3 linked regions of the Schizosaccharomyces pombe genome follow. Changing the gene in region 2 together with the main gene of any one other region gives a genetic interaction. Each region holds a gene or a part of one and is shown on either strand. Other genes may lie near its edges.

The links.
Region 1: mutations in bcp1 (region 2) and plt1 together harm fitness more than expected from each alone (negative genetic interaction), as found in Schizosaccharomyces pombe (one large-scale study listed by BioGRID).
Region 3: of bcp1 (region 2) and spt3, changing one suppresses a phenotype caused by changing the other (phenotypic suppression), as found in Schizosaccharomyces pombe (one large-scale study listed by BioGRID).

Annotation. Positions count from the first base shown.
Region 1 is NC_003423.3:3,385,250-3,391,538, forward strand, and holds plt1 (phosphate transporter), read left to right. Parts: upstream 1-2,368; 5' UTR 2,369-2,450; coding exon 2,451-2,467; exon of another isoform or gene 2,468-2,513; coding exon 2,514-2,558; exon of another isoform or gene 2,559-2,613; coding exon 2,614-2,634; exon of another isoform or gene 2,635-2,782; coding exon 2,783-5,303; downstream 5,304-6,289. Other genes in the region: diphthamide biosynthesis protein Dph1, read right to left, coding at 670-1,776, 1,865-2,068; mitochondrial F1-FO ATP synthase peripheral stalk assembly factor Ina17, read left to right, coding at 5,719-5,820, 5,929-6,055, 6,102-6,133.
Region 2 is NC_003423.3:283,103-287,675, reverse strand, and holds bcp1 (thioredoxin peroxidase), read left to right. Parts: upstream 1-2,859; 5' UTR 2,860-3,150; coding exon 3,151-3,738; 3' UTR 3,739-4,073; downstream 4,074-4,573. Other genes in the region: SPOM_SPBC1773.03C (aminotransferase), read left to right, coding at 258-1,637; csc3 (WD repeat-containing protein), read right to left, coding at 4,128-4,573. UniProt on the Schizosaccharomyces pombe protein: Thiol-specific peroxidase that catalyzes the reduction of hydrogen peroxide and organic hydroperoxides to water and alcohols, respectively.
Region 3 is NC_003421.2:1,440,867-1,445,586, reverse strand, and holds spt3 (SAGA complex subunit Spt3), read right to left. Parts: upstream 2,634-4,720; 5' UTR 2,586-2,633; coding exon 1,662-2,585; 3' UTR 987-1,661; downstream 1-986. Other genes in the region: NADHX dehydratase Nnr2, read right to left, coding at 1-934; siderophore-Fe(3+) transporter Str2, read left to right, coding at 3,593-3,804, 3,917-4,720. UniProt on the Schizosaccharomyces pombe protein: Component of the transcription coactivator SAGA complex. SAGA acts as a general cofactor required for essentially all RNA polymerase II transcription. At the promoters, SAGA is required for transcription pre-initiation complex (PIC) recruitment.

The DNA.
Region 1 (6,289 bases), 3.1 Mb from region 2:
TTTAGAATCTAAAAAGAGTTAATAACACTTCTGCCATCATCGATATATATGCAAATCAAGTGGAGTGATTTTTGCGCAGACATATCCGCTCCGGTATCATAGCATGAAATTCTCTCATCAAAATGTGTTAACTTGTAATATGATGCTATTAACCTACCTTTTTATTATATATAAGTATATATAACAACACTATTAGAAGGGAGAAAAAGGGATTCACTTTGAGAATGGGTTATGGGAGTGTTTAAGCTGAATCGGACGGTGACGGAGTGATAACGATCAAGAACATTCCTATTGGCTTACTTGGCTAAGCATCCTGAACCTATCTGCAGCTACTAGAACTACTCACATAAAAAAAGTTAGAACAACATAACAAGAAAAAAATTTCGCATTGCTTGTGTTGATTTTATAACCGCCATGGAACAGGGGGGTATGCTGGACACATTCAATCGTTACTTTACAACATGTAGGGCTGGTTACTTATAAATTTCCTTAAAATGAGGGACGCGCCTGCCGGTGCATAGTTTAAATATAAATATATTAAAGCAGTAGTTTATGTAATACATATTGTATTTATCAGATGAGAATTCTATTGGTATTTTAATAAACCTATAAAGAACAATATAAGGGTTAAAAAATAACAAGTATTAGTGCCATTAATGGCAAGTAGCGTTAAGAAGAAACGGGTCCGGTTTTTTTGCGATTTGGCAGAGGTCGATTTTCGGGATTATTTGGAGTCCAATTACCTAATGAATTGGTAGCGTAAAAGTCCATAGGATAAACTTCCTTCCAAGGAACAACATTAAAAGCAGCAGATGCTTCATATGGTGTCAACAATGGAGCGGGAAATGCATAGCCCCAATCTATGGAAAGCCTTGGACAAGCGACCTGAATCCACGCGTCAATATCAGAGAATTGACCCAATCTACTAGGAAAAATTTCTGACATTAAAACGCAAACGAAATCTTTATTATTTTTCCTTAAAGTATTCTTTAAATTTTCGAGTACCTTAGGAGACCCCTGTCGACCCAGTGTACCTTGAATTAGACCGAACTTTTTAGCGGTACGAGCTTTCTCAACGGCGGAATACCGAATAGATTTCATTTCTTCATGAGCATAAGATTCAATAGAGAGCTTATGTGAGTAAGGATCATAGCGGTATGCGGGCAAATCAGGATTAGCAATCATGACAGATTCCAAATGGAATCTTCCGTCACCAATGTAAATTAATGCATCTACAGATCCTTTTTCAATATAGGGAGATGTACATCCCAACGCCTCTCCAGGAGATAATGGCTTTGCTTGTGGAATAACAACGTAAAAACCTCCCTTTCCGTCTTCATCCTGTATTTGCAAAGCGTCTTTTATAGAGTTGAGAGATCCAACAAATTGGATAGTTCCAACCAAAGCTAACCTAGAATTGGAGGGTAGATTATGTTTTAAAGATGATACGACATGTTGCAAATCTATCTTTATATCCACGAAAACATATAGCACCTTTATGGGCGTTTGATCAACAGGTATAAGACAAGAATGACCATAGTGTACTAAAAAATCGCAATCGAGTGCCCTAGCTGTAAAATCGTCAATACAACACGCACCGTATGTAACGTCGCCCATCACAATTGTCTCGACCTGGCAAAATTGTTCAAAAATATCAGACAATATACAACCAAACATCAATAGCCCCTCGGGAAGTTGCAAGGCAACACGTTTTGCTTTTCGTAAGCGAATATGCCAAATGGTTTTGTGAATTTCAAAATTGTAATTTTGCGGTAACTATTAAAGGTTAGCTGACCAAGCTTTGATGTTTTTGAGAAAAGAAGAAACTAATTTACGGCATCTTTCTCTAATAAAAGCAGCTTACCAATTTTATAGCTTCATTAATTGCTTTATCGTTTAATATATCCTCTGGGATTTGAGTAGCTACTCGTCCAGCGCTCCTCTTGGAGTTAATAGTGACGAGAGCAGCATTTTCAACATCTCTATTAGAACCATCCAAATTATTTTCCTTCCTATTTTTTTTGCCAACAAAACGACGTTTTGGAATTGATTTTTTCACTTCCGCCATTGTGTTTTAAAATTATAAAGTCTATTACTAAAACCCTTTGAAATCCCAAGAAGTAACCAATGCTATGTATGTATTTAAATTGATAGAATGCCAAAAATCCTTTTTCCCTGCAAATTGCTTGTTTGTTAAATTAAAATACAATAGGATCCCAAATAATTTACTAAGTAAAAAAGCATTGCACTTTGCTATATTATTTAACACACGTTGTTATATTACGCTATTTCTATCGGAGGTTGGATCCACGAATACAGCTTCACCTCCGATCATAGGCCACGAAATTTGAACGGCTAACGCTCCTTTAGATTGTTCCAAATTAATTTGCGTGAATAAGCTAAAGCTGTTTTTAGTCACAATTGAAGTTAAATGACCTCTGTCATCCAAGATGAAATTCAGTCATAGGTTTGTTGCATCAGTTTTCACAAGACTTGTTCTAATTACTTTTTAGTCTTCAATTTAATGCAGTACCGGAATGGTCCGAAAGCTACATTGCGTAAGTAAACAACCTGTTGGATTACTTCCGATTTTTGCTAACAATCGGTGCTTAGTTACTCGAACCTTAAGAAGCTGTATGTTTGAAAATTCTCGAGCTTACGACTGGCTATTATGATATATCCTATATTCCGACAAATTCATACTTGCGAAATTTGGGATAATGTCTGATTAACAGCCGGAGAATAAAATTGTACTTGAATTTTGCTAACATATATTTTTAAGTATTTATTCATTGGAACATGAACAGATAACATTACAACAAGGCGCTCCAGATGAAGAAACTAGGCTGTTAGAGCACGAAAGAAGATCACCCGATGATCGCTTTATGTTTGCTTTAGACAAGGAATTACAAGGAATTGTTGAATTTTATGCTCCTAAAGAAAAAGAAATTGCTGATCAGTATGGTAGAATTAAGGGCGAATTTGAAACCTATGAGAATGAGTATATGAGTCAGGGAAACAACATTAATTACCCTACCCCTGAACGATTACAAAAGAGCTCAGCGAGTAGGAAATCTGGTCGTATGGCCCGCAGCCAAGAATTGCCTCGCATTACTTCTTCAAACCGTGAGATATATCTCAATGGGCAAACTAGTGATGGAGGTTATGCGGCCCCTGCTATATCTAGAGCAGAATCTACTGCTATTCAACCGTCTGAACCTCATGATGTCGATACTTCTAAAAACGGTTTATCAAAAAAACAACATTCAGAAGCTCAACCTGAGGTACAAGGCAATGATGATGAGGTGGAGGAGGAAGATGATGATGATGATGATGAAGATGAGGACGAAGATGAAGACGAAGATAACAACAATAACAATCGATGGTTGCTTATTGAACAATATCCATCTGATATTGTTGCGTACGAAAACTTCGTTTCTTTAAAGCGAAAACTGACACAGTTGTATGTTTCAATTCATGACTTGATTTCGTACGTCCATCTTAATTATACTGGTTTTTCAAAAATCTTAAAAAAATATGATAAAACTTTGGGTAGTAGCCTTCGTGAATCGTACATGAAGCGCGTCAACCAAGCTTACCCTTTCCTTCCTGCTACTGGGAAAACATTGTCAAAGCGTTTAAATATTGTTGCAGAGTGGTATGCTAAGCTATGCTGTCAAGGCGATACATTTGTGGCTATCCGTCGCCTTCGTGGTCATCTTCGTGAATACGTTGCATGGGAAAGGAACACTATTTGGCGTGAAATGATGGCTATGGAGCGTCGTACTCAGGCCGCGAGATTATCAGGACTGAAGCCTGTCGCAGCTGATGAGAAAGAATCAGAACAGCCCCCCTATTTTACAATCAAAACTAAATTTGGTGTTTTTAGAATCCCAAGATGCTTCTTTAATAGCACGATTGCAACTTTAATTACTATTATCGTTATATTTATTCTCTTATTAAGTTTTCCTGTCATAGATAATAGGGAACAGAACAATTGTTTGGCTTTGTTAGTAATGGTTTCTTTATTATGGGCTACGGAGGCTATTCCTTTGTTCGTTACTTCGTTTTTGGTTCCTTTTATGACTGTGTTTTTGAAAATTTTGAGAGATGAGAACGGTTCACCTCTTTCTGGAAAGGAATCAACAAAGGTTATATTTAGTTCGATGTGGAATCCAACTATAGTTTTGCTTTTAGGAGGTTTTACCATTGCAGCTGCTCTAAGCAAATATCATATTGCTAAAAGGTTGGCGACTTCCATTTTAGCGCATGCAGGGCGTAAGCCTAGAAGCGTGCTTCTTACAAACATGTTCGTTGCCATGTTTGCTAGTATGTGGATTAGCAACGTTGCTGCGCCAGTGTTGTGTTTTTCTATTATTCAGCCCCTTCTGAGAAATTTACCAGCAGAGTCCGATTTTGCAAAGATACTAATTGTGGGTATTGCTTTGGCATCTAATGTTGGAGGTATTGCTTCGCCTATTTCATCCCCACAAAATATTGTTGCGCTACAGAATATGGATCCCGCTGCGGGATGGGGTGAATGGTTTGCCGTCAGTATTCCTGTATCGTTACTGTGTATATTTTCTATATGGTTTCTGTTGTCTTTTGGATTACTGAAAGATGAGCACATCACTTTAGCTAAAATTCGCTCCACCAAGGATACATTTACTGGTGTCCAATGGTTTATTTCCATTGTTACGATTGGTACTATAGTCCTTTGGTGCCTTGAACGCCGCTTCGATGAGGTGTTTGGTGATATGGGTGTTATTGCATTAGTCCCAATCATTGTATTCTTCGGAACAGGTTTGTTAACCAAGGAGGATTTTAATAATTTTTTGTGGACAGTCATAGTTTTGGCAATGGGAGGTGTTGCGTTAGGAAAAGTAGTGTCTTCTTCCGGCCTTTTAGAACTTATTGCCCTTAAAATAGGTAATGCTGTTTCTTCCCTTAATACATTTAGGGTACTGCTTATTTTTTCTGCTTTGACTCTTGTTGTTTCTTCATTTATTTCTCATATAGTAGCTGCAATGGTGGTACTTCCCATTGTCCATGAAGTTGGAAGTCGCCTTGCCGATCCTCATCCACGTCTTTTCGTTTTGGCTTCGGGAATGATGTGTAGTCTTGCTATGGCTTTGCCAACCAGTGGTTTTCCTAATATGACAGCTATCATGATGGAAAATGAAGCTGGCAAAAGATATTTGAAAGTTAGTGACTTTTTAAAAGCTGGTATTCCTGCCACACTAATTTCCTTCGTGATTCTCCTATTAATTGGAACACCAATCATGCGAGCACTTGGATTTTAACCTCCTAATTTGTAAACGGTACTGTATCTTTCTTTTTATAATTTTTGAGTCGAAGCATGTTCTGCTGCATAACACATTCATATTTGTCAATTCTACTTAAATAGATTTTAAATCATTGCATTCGAAGATAAAATTATGGTAGCTTAGTGTTCCTACGGATCTTAATGTATTTATATGTTCACTTTATAATACGATACAAAACAAATTTTATCTCTCCTTTGTTTCAAATTGACTGGCAAAAAAAAATAACAAATAACTAATCACAAAAACCTAAGGAATATGAAAAATAGTTGCTAATTTTCGTAGAAACTTGGATCTTGATTAGAAATGAACCAAATTATGCATCATTCAAATAGATTGTAGTGTGTATGGTGCAGCGGGAACGTTATAATTAACCATCACCTATAGTCTCAAAATGTTACGCAAATTGCCCATCAATTTTGCGAAATGGACTGTAAAAAAGGTGCCAGTTCAGCAGAAAAGATTTAATAGTCAACAAAAAGAAATCTCACCTCATGTAAGCTTTTCTAAATACGCTTTAGGTCATAAATTTTATCTGTGCTAAAATTCATTCAAGCATTTTTGCATTGTTTTATTTAACATTATTTTATTAACGATCATAAAGATTATGTTTTATAAAAACTACGCTAGACCTCTTGGTAAAGTGACGCTTTTTGCCTTAGCAACTTATTATGGATTGGAAATAGTTTGGTGGAAATTAGATGCATCAGAACAGGAAGCTATTAAAAACAGTAAGTTGTTGATATGTGAAAGCTCTTTTAGTTTGTTGACATTTAGGCGAATTACGGAATTTAGAGAATGCGAAATAAAAACACGAGATTTGTATGACCCAGAAATTTAGTAACGTATATGGCTTAAAGAAGCGAGATTACGATTTGTTAATAGTTCAGTATGTCAAAAATTCTTTGAATAGCTAAATGCTACAGACGAAACACTCAGTCAAAAGGTCCTCGAGTTGTTTGTTC
Region 2 (4,573 bases):
TTGGATAGATACGAAACTGAAGGCGGCAATTTCGTTATCCGGAGATGTACTTGCGACACATAGATAAAAAAGATGATTATTAAAGCTTGACGAGGTTTTAAATACCGTAGGATTTCTAGTTCATCTGACACTTTACAAGATATTGTAGTGAAGCTGTGGTGATCAGATCAATTTCTTTAGAGAATAGATTGGAAAACACTTCGCTTAATCTTTTTACATATAAATACTCTTACTGACGAGAATTTACATTGCTTATCATGACTGAAACTGTAACTACTACGTCGAGCGACAAGTCTGAAAAAAAGAATTATTTGTTCTATACTTCTCCTAATCACAGGCCTCCCACTGTGGTTCGTGCTGAAGGCGTTTACTTATATTTGGAAGATGGTACGAGGATTATGGATGCTACTGGAGGTGCAGCAGTCGCCTGTCTTGGACATGGAAACAAGGAGGTAATTGATGCTATGCATAAGCAATCAGAAAAGGTTTGCTACATACACAGCATGGGGTTTTCAAATGAACCCGCAGACAAACTTGCAAATTTGCTAGTATCTGAACATCCCGACGTTTTTGCCCGAGCTTATTTTGCCAATAGTGGGTCAGAGGCCGTTGAAACATGTTTAAAGCTTATTCTGCAGTACTGGCAGCTCGTGGGTGAAAAACAGAGATGCCATATAATTGCCCGTAAGCAAGGATACCATGGAAACACTTTGTTTGCTCTTTCTGTTGGCGGAATGAAACCTCGCAAACAGCCTTATGAAGGTGTGTTTTCTCACACAACTTCCCACGTATCTCCTTGTTTTGAATACAGGTATAAGGAAAACGGAGAGACAACCGAAGAATATGTTGCTCGATTAGCTAAAGAGCTTGAGGATGAAATTCTTCGCGTTGGTCCTGAAAAGGTGGCAGCGTTTGTGGCGGAGACAGTATCCGGTGCTTGCACAGGTTGTGCTACCCCTGTCCCTGGCTATTTCAAAGCAATGAGAAAGGTTTGTGACAAGTACGGAGTGATCTTTTACCTCGACGAGGTTATGTCGGGTATTGGCCGTACGGGAACAATGCATGCATGGGAGCAAGAGGGTGTGACACCTGACATTCAATCTATTGCCAAATGTTTAGGAGGTGGTTATCAACCCATTTCTGGAGCGCTTGTTGGTCATCGTATTATGAACGTGTTTGAGCAAAAAGATGCTGCCATGGCTGGTTTTTTTACATATCAAGCCCACCCAATTGCTTGTTCTGCTGCCCTGGCGGTGCAAACTATTTTAAGACGAGATCATCTTGTTGAAAGGGCAGCAGAAATGGGTAAATACCTTTCGGAAAAATTACATGAGACTTTTGACTCTCATCCCAACGTGGGAAATATTCGAGGCCGCGGTTTGTTTTGGGGACTCGAGATCGTTAAAGACAAAGCTACCAAGGAATGTTTCCCTCCTGAATACAAAGTTGGTTCTCTCGCCAACAAAATAGGTTGCGAGCATGGTGTTTTCGTTTATCCAGGCATGGGTACAATTGATGGCACCAGAGGAGACCACGTATTGCTGGCTCCTCCGTATATTATCACTCGCGAGCAAATAGATGAACTAGTGGAGGCTCTTAGCAAAACCATTACATCTACAGTTGCGGCCCTTCCTTGAATGTACGCAAGTTAACGAAATTCCTCTTTATCAGTTATAATGTTTCAGATAATTTGGATATACTTATGTTAGAAGACCTTTGGTCATGGTATAATAATTAATTTTATATGAAATGAATTTACAATGCATTAATATACTTTCTCCGCTACGACCCTTCGTTGTAATAAAATTGATAATTCCATACGGCTATAGGGTAGACGATGGCTCGCAATCATTTGAAAACATGTTCTCTGCGTAAACGCGTTTCTATATAGTTTGAATCAACAAACGTAAAAAACAAAAAAAAACTTGGACAAGCCAGAACTCGAATCTGGGACCTCTTCCATGCTAAGGAAGCGTGATAACCATCTACACCACATGCCCATTTTATTATACATTACACATTTATAGTATATTACAAGCATAGTAGGCAGTATACCATAATTTCAACTATTTAATGTATAATAAATAGACACATTATTAGCCAAACAGTTTGGATTGTTTTTGGGTTATTTTCATAATGTAGAACCAGTTGCTAATACTTCGATACAAGTTTAATTTTAAAGTAATATATGTCTATTATTTTACCTCTTCATCCAAGCATCGATGGTGTAGCGGTAACATCAATGCCTTCCAAGCATTAGCTCCGGGTTCGACTCCCGGTCGATGCAATGTTTTTAGCCTTTTTATAAAAAAAATGCAATGTTAGTTTAATAAAGACGATAGCCTCGCTTGCTAACATCATGTTTTATAGTCTTGGCTTACTTCCTTAGAATCTTTACTACGATTGCTACATTGACATTGCATGCAAATCAGTTCCTAGCTGATGGATCCGTTCTACAATTGACGAACAAAAGATATTTGAAATTTGTTAATAAATTAATTGTTATTTTATTTATATTTCTGTAACGCTGTCGAGACGGACAATCAGAGAAAATGCTGTTACAGTTTACGAAAGACCATTTTTTAAAGCCATACTAGTAAAAACGACACCATGTTAATAATGATTTGACTAGAAATTTTATGAAAGAAAACATTCTTTAGTCATAGTAGGATGCAAAGCTATTCCGATTGTATAAGCAGGGGAAGATCGGTTCCCTATCGATCGTTTGAAAGGTCAGCTAAATACGCTAAATACGATTTTACGGGATCACATTGGTAATGTTGTAAAGTAATATCAAAGCGAAGCTAACAAATTGGTAATATTTATGTCGTGATTCTTCACTACCTGTACTTTCTTCCTACACCAGAAAGAAAATCTCAGGTGTTATTGTAAAATTGTTTTTATTTTGGTACCGAAATTCTGAAAGTTGAGTAGTAAAAAGTTCAGAGTACTTCATCCTGAACAGAGTTTCACTACTTTGATCATTTTATCTAGCCTTTACAAGTTAAAGCGATTTAATACTGATCAGCATTGACACCAACGTTTTTGGTTTTACAGGTGTTGTTTAGAATATAAATTTATATACTGCAGCTCTGCATCAACCTTTCTCCTTCCCCTCTAGCATTTTTCTTGCACACTTTAAGCCTGTCAATGGACGCCCCCAGAAGATCTAGCAGATTGGCAGCCAAGATTGCAAACGTCTTGGATAGCAAAGGAACGATTATTCCTGAAGCTGCTCCAGTAATGCTGAAAAAGCCTGCAAAAGATGAATCAGTTGATTCAACTATTCAAGTGGGAGACGTAATTCCCGATATCACTTTGCCTGACGAAGATGGAACTTCCATTCGACTTCGCGATATTACTGCAAATAAAGGGCTTGTAATTTTTGCCTACCCAAAAGCTAGTACTCCTGGCTGCACGAAACAAGGTTGTGGTTTTCGTGATAACTATCCTAAGATACAGGCCTCTGATTATGAAGTTTTAGGGTTGTCTTTCGATACTAGCAAAGCTCAAAAAGCTTTCAAGGATAAGCAAAACTTTCCTTATCATTTGCTTTCGGATCCTAAAGGTGAGCTAATTAAAAAGTTAGGCGCTGAGAAGCCTGGTGGTGGAAAGCTGTTTAGAAGCCATTGGATCTTTGAGAAAGGTACTGGCAAATGCATAGTGAAGGAAATTGACATATCACCTCTTGTCAGTGTTGACAAAGCCTTTGCTGTAATCACTGATTCTGAACCTTAGTTGACAAATTGTCTACGCTCATTGTCAAATTTGGAGGATAGTCTACATGCCTATTGCTATATGATTCATGATGAAATTACACTTTTTTATGTCTTGCTACAATGTGCTTCAACCCTGAAGATACATTCAAATATGATCACTACACAATTTTATACAAGTTGATGGTCCAAGTTAGTGTTGTTCTTATTTTAGTAACGTTGAGATTAGATTAAATAGTTGCCGTATATCTAATACAAATATAGCTCCAGCAACGGTGTAGATTTTTGGTTCATTACGGTTAGAAATCGTAAATCATTATTTTTTAACAAATAACTCATTTTGATTAGAAAAGTTGGAAGTTTCATAAAAAGAGGGAAATCTTCCTGTATTCGTTTATCTTTGTTAGTGCTTTATGGTAAATATTTGCGGTCGTAAACAGAAATTCGCTCTTTACAGCCCACAATCAAATGCTCCAACTTATCGACGGGTGAGTTGATCCAAAGAATATCTGATAAATCAGTAATTTCCTCTTGAGCTTCTCTGCTAGGTAAGCTTTCGAGAGTTGAAAGTTTATCGTCCTGCCTCAAGAAAAAGACTCTTCCATCAGATGCACTAATCGCGAATTCCGGACGATTTACAGCAAACGCAATACCAGTCAAAGAGACTTTGCTAATCGATTTCTCTGCAAGCAATTCCTCACTCTTTACATCGAACACTCGCACCATGCCATTTTCATGCAGAGAATATAAGCGATCAGGGTTACCATTTTTCCATACGATCTTGTTGATCCTGTCTTTAACAGCCGGATTACCAATAGCAGAATTTCCAGCAATGCGCATTTGGCTTACAAGAATTT
Region 3 (4,720 bases), on a different chromosome or scaffold from region 2:
CATTATACGCTTTACCCACATGTCTGACCAGGTCAGTTGATTGAGTTGCACGACCACATTCCTTAAACGCCAAACGACTGCACCAGCGAGTACAGGCAGAGGCTCCAAATGCGGCAAGGAAGAGACATTCTTTAGCATCCATATTACCTTCTGTATCCCATTCTTTGCTAAGATAAGCATGTCTCCAAGCAAGGAATGTAGCAAGTATACCAGTTAAAATGTCACCCTGACCACCACAACGTTTAAGACCACCAGGAACGGAGCAAGCATATGCAGTAGCGCCATCGGAAATAATATCGGATTGGCCTTTTTGAATGATGAGCAAATTTAGTTTGCCAGCTAGCTGATTGCAAGCATCGGGTCCGTCACTCTTAATGTCAAGCTTGTCGCAAAGTCTTTTGAACTCAATAACGTTAGGTGTTAAAATTACATTATGATAACCCGAAACCAATTCGGGACGTTGTTGAATTAACCACAAGCCATCAGCATCGATAACCATAGGCATATCATTTTTGCGCGCATACTCAATTACTTTGGCCATAATCTCTTGCATCCATTCATCACGTCCCAATCCAGGCCCAATTACGATGGCATGCAATCTTCCCATCATGGGCTTTATAAGTTCAAAGCATTTATCGACACTATCTTCTGGTCCAGCTTTGTCCTTTTCACGTAAAAATGGATGAACAATCAGATCAGGAGAATAGCTTTTAATGACATTTGCAGCTTCTTTTTCACAAAATATGTGGCTTTGGTCACTGCCGAAGAGCATCGACGACATCGAAGAATAGTACGGAGCACCTGTGTAGTGCTGACAACCCCCAAAAACACCAACTCGACCGGCTTGACCTTTGTGGAAGGTATCAAGAAGTGGTGGAATGATGCGCTTCACACGAGTCAGCAAATTTGTAATTTTGGGAGATCCAGATGTCATGTTGTAATCTTGTTGAGCGAATTCTTCGGATAGCAAAAAATTATAAAGAATTACAATTATAATAAATCAAAAAGTCTTTAAAATTCCTGAATTTTGTATCTCTTAAGTACTGTGAGTGCTTCGGAATACGAATGTTCGGTTATTCTTGGAGTTGGCGTATGTATGATGTTAAGGTGGAAGGTATGATCAAAATGACGCTCAGTGATGAAGTTCAAATGTTCTCGAAAACAAAAAAAAAACGTAAAGAAACCCTTTGTTTTTTAAAAATTTCGCACTGACGATATCAAAAGGATGATCCCCTTGTTCATTACGAAAATCAGCAGTTTGTATAGAGTAAACGAAGTTTGGTAAGAAGATTTGCAAATATTCACAGATATCATGAGATTCCAGTATAATAAGAAAAATTTGATATTAAAAAATCCAAAAGTCCAAATACTACCACTGCTGCAATTAAGAATATCGCTTAGTGGAAAGATAGAAATAAAATTATGAATTCAATCGGAGATGCAAGACAACAGTCTAATGTGATGAAATATATTGAGTAGTTAATATCTCCATAAAGTAAAGGGGCTTTCGTAAGATCTAAACCATATTGTTTCAAGGAGAACCAGTAATGGGGATAATAACATATACGTACCTAGTATGGGTAATTACAGGAAAACAGGGCATTTAGATGTAAATGGAAGCCTTACAGCAATTAAAAAAAAAGAAGAGACAGTGAAAATGATTAGATAAGATACACACGAGATTTGACCAAACCCCCATGAAAACTGCGCATAGCAGTATGAGTTTTATCGGGGATTTGCAAACGACGAAAAGCTTCTAAAACATGAGAAACTTGAAGGGGAGTTCTCCCCTCAGTAAGTCCATCAAATAAACTGCAATTTTTCGGATGATGCGCTGCATGAGAGCCTCCACTACCCGAGCTATTTTGAATCCGATCCATTCGATCTTTCACAGCCAGTGCTTCCTCAGTTAAGGTAGCCACAATCTCAAAGGTCAAGAAGCCAAGTATATCTACAATATCATTATCAGGGCGAGTATCTGTTAGAATAGACATGCCACACCATTCACGAAATCGCTTGCCTTTTCGATAAGTAAAACTGGCTTGTCGACATTCACTCCAATGAACATACTCCTCACGCGTCATTTTCTTCGTGCGTTCATCTGCCATTTTAAGACGTTGTCGCGTCGCATATGCCATTTCCATCGTATCGTTATCTTCTTCAAACTCTTCTGTTTCCGGTACAGGCTCTGTAAACATATTTTTTACTTCCCAAGGCATAGCAACTGCATTCATTGACCTTGTTTTTGAATCTACTTCCTCAAAAAGATCTTTTGTATCGGCAGGATTGGCATCCTGCTCCTTCGCTTTCTTGCGCACTTCCTTCCATGACAGGTATGTCTTTAGTCGATTCACCTTTGCACGATCATGGCGAATTAAGAAAAATAAATCTTCCACAGTAATAGATCTTGAGCCACGTCGTAAAGCTAGCTCATTTGCCTGAATTAACATCTCCATCACTTGTCCACGTATTAGCTCTTCGACTAATTGTGTGGTTTCTGGGAGAGGATCCTGCACCTCCCCTAGAATGAACATCATTTGTTGAATTTCAACACGATATTTACTGGTTCTGCCAGTCTCAGTCATTCCGCATTGCTTATTTTTAACCACTTCCCAAAGTGGTGGGTAGTTGACAAGTTGCTGAACTCCAAACTGACAAGAAAAATATAGTTTCCAGTAAGAAGGACTAATTGATGGGGCATAAAGTGCTTTAAGTTGAAAAAGAAAAACCATTGTCAAACGTTTAGCTTGCAAAAAGCAAACAAATTTTATGAGAGCTGGATACACTATCCAAACTGCAAACCCAGTCCATTCTTTCGTTACAGAACATCCAGTACAACTAGTTAGTGAAGAAGTGTTATTAGAAGAGTAACTCCTGTCTTTTTTTGAAGCATAGGTTTATTAATTTAAGATTGTAAATGTTTGAAATTTTTTACCTTCGTAACTTGTTTACTTCCGTTTAAAGTAGATACTTGAGTAATCTATAAAGTGAAAAGCATCAACTTTCTTTGGTCTGAAACTCTCTTTTGCTAGATCATTCATCTTTGTTGCCATAAATGTAAACACCTTCTAATTATCAGCAATTTGTGATATTACTAGCAATTCTTTAGATTATGTTTTCGTGTTTAGAAGGATTTCATTAGTCTGAGTGATATTGCAATTTCTTCTTAATGCTTCTATTTCGAGCATGCTGTAAAATCGTCTGCTACCAATCTCTGTAATTTTTAATACTTCCAAAATGTTTAAGTGTGACTAGAAACTAAATTGAATACTCTGAACAAATGAATACCCTATTGAAGCCATCACTCATAAATTCGAGGAGTTAATTGCGGGAACATCAAATTGGCGGCTTAGCCTGAACCTCGGAGAAAGGGTCAAAGTGTAATTCTTCTATTATTTAAAAAAGTTTAACCGCTTCTTAAAGCAACCAAAAACCTCTTATTAACTAACTAGTCTGCATTTCATCAGTCTTTATTTATTATTGTTTACCAACTTCATTAAACATCTCGGTTAGATAAACTCTAATTTGCTATACGATCTGATAATTTGTGTTGGCGTACCTTTTGCATACTGCCATTTACCATACACTCTGGATGACTGAGAATTATGGAAGCATGGAGCATCGTAAAAAGAGTTTTCGTAATAACGAAAATTTAGAACAGCAATTTCATCCCCTTAGAGAAGAGCTTGATAATGCTGGACCCATAAATGATCGTACTTCAGAATTGTCACTAGAAGGTGTTTCCAAAGCTGAGGCAATTGCTTCAACATGGTCTAAAAGATCGATTATTGTTGCTTACCTTGGGTATGTTAGTATTGTAGTCATGATAATCCATAAATCACGTAGTGTTTGCATACATCTGTTGAATGTTTGTGTTTGTGGTATGATCAAGCTAACACAATGTCTTCTCTTTTAGTCTCTATTTGTTGTCATTTGCATCTTCATTAGAGCAGCAAACTACGTATTCTTTGCAAAGATACGCAACCAGCAACTTTTCCGCCCATTCAAACTTGGCTACAATCAATTTGGTGGGCAATATTCTTTTAGCAGTTGTTCGAGCACCAATGGTAAAGGCTGCCGATGTCTTTGGACGTTCGGAGAGTCTTAGTTTAGCATTAGGAATGACAGTGTTGGGATATCTTTCATTGGCATTTTCTCGAAATATTCAAATGTTTACCGTAGCATATATCCTCTATATATGCGGCCAAACTGGGCTAGGTCTGTTATCTCAATTAATTATTGCAGACACATCTTCGCTACTCAATCGGGGGATTCTCTCTGCTATCCCAGAACTTCCCTATCTTGCAACTGTTTGGATTGGACCAGTGCTTGCTCAAGCCTTTCATCCTGAGAAAAATTATGGGTGGAGATTGGGTTATGGTATATGGGCGTTCATTTTACCAACAGTTTCATTACCTCTCTTGGCTTCGCTTTTCCTAAACCAAAGAAAAGCCAAGGCTGCAGGTTTATATAGAGAACATCATAACTTGATCAATCATTCCACTCCTGAAAAACTTAGACTATTTTATTTGTTTTGGCAGGAATTGGATGGTCTTGGAATAGTGTTGTTTGTGTCTGGCTTTACGCTTTTGTTGCTGCCTTTTTCCCATTCGAGTCAGGTAGTTTCACCAGACTCAACAATTTTAACTCTCTTTACTATAACTCTCTCCATTGCTTTGTTAGTAACCCTATGCTTCTACGACGTCAAATATGCACGCTA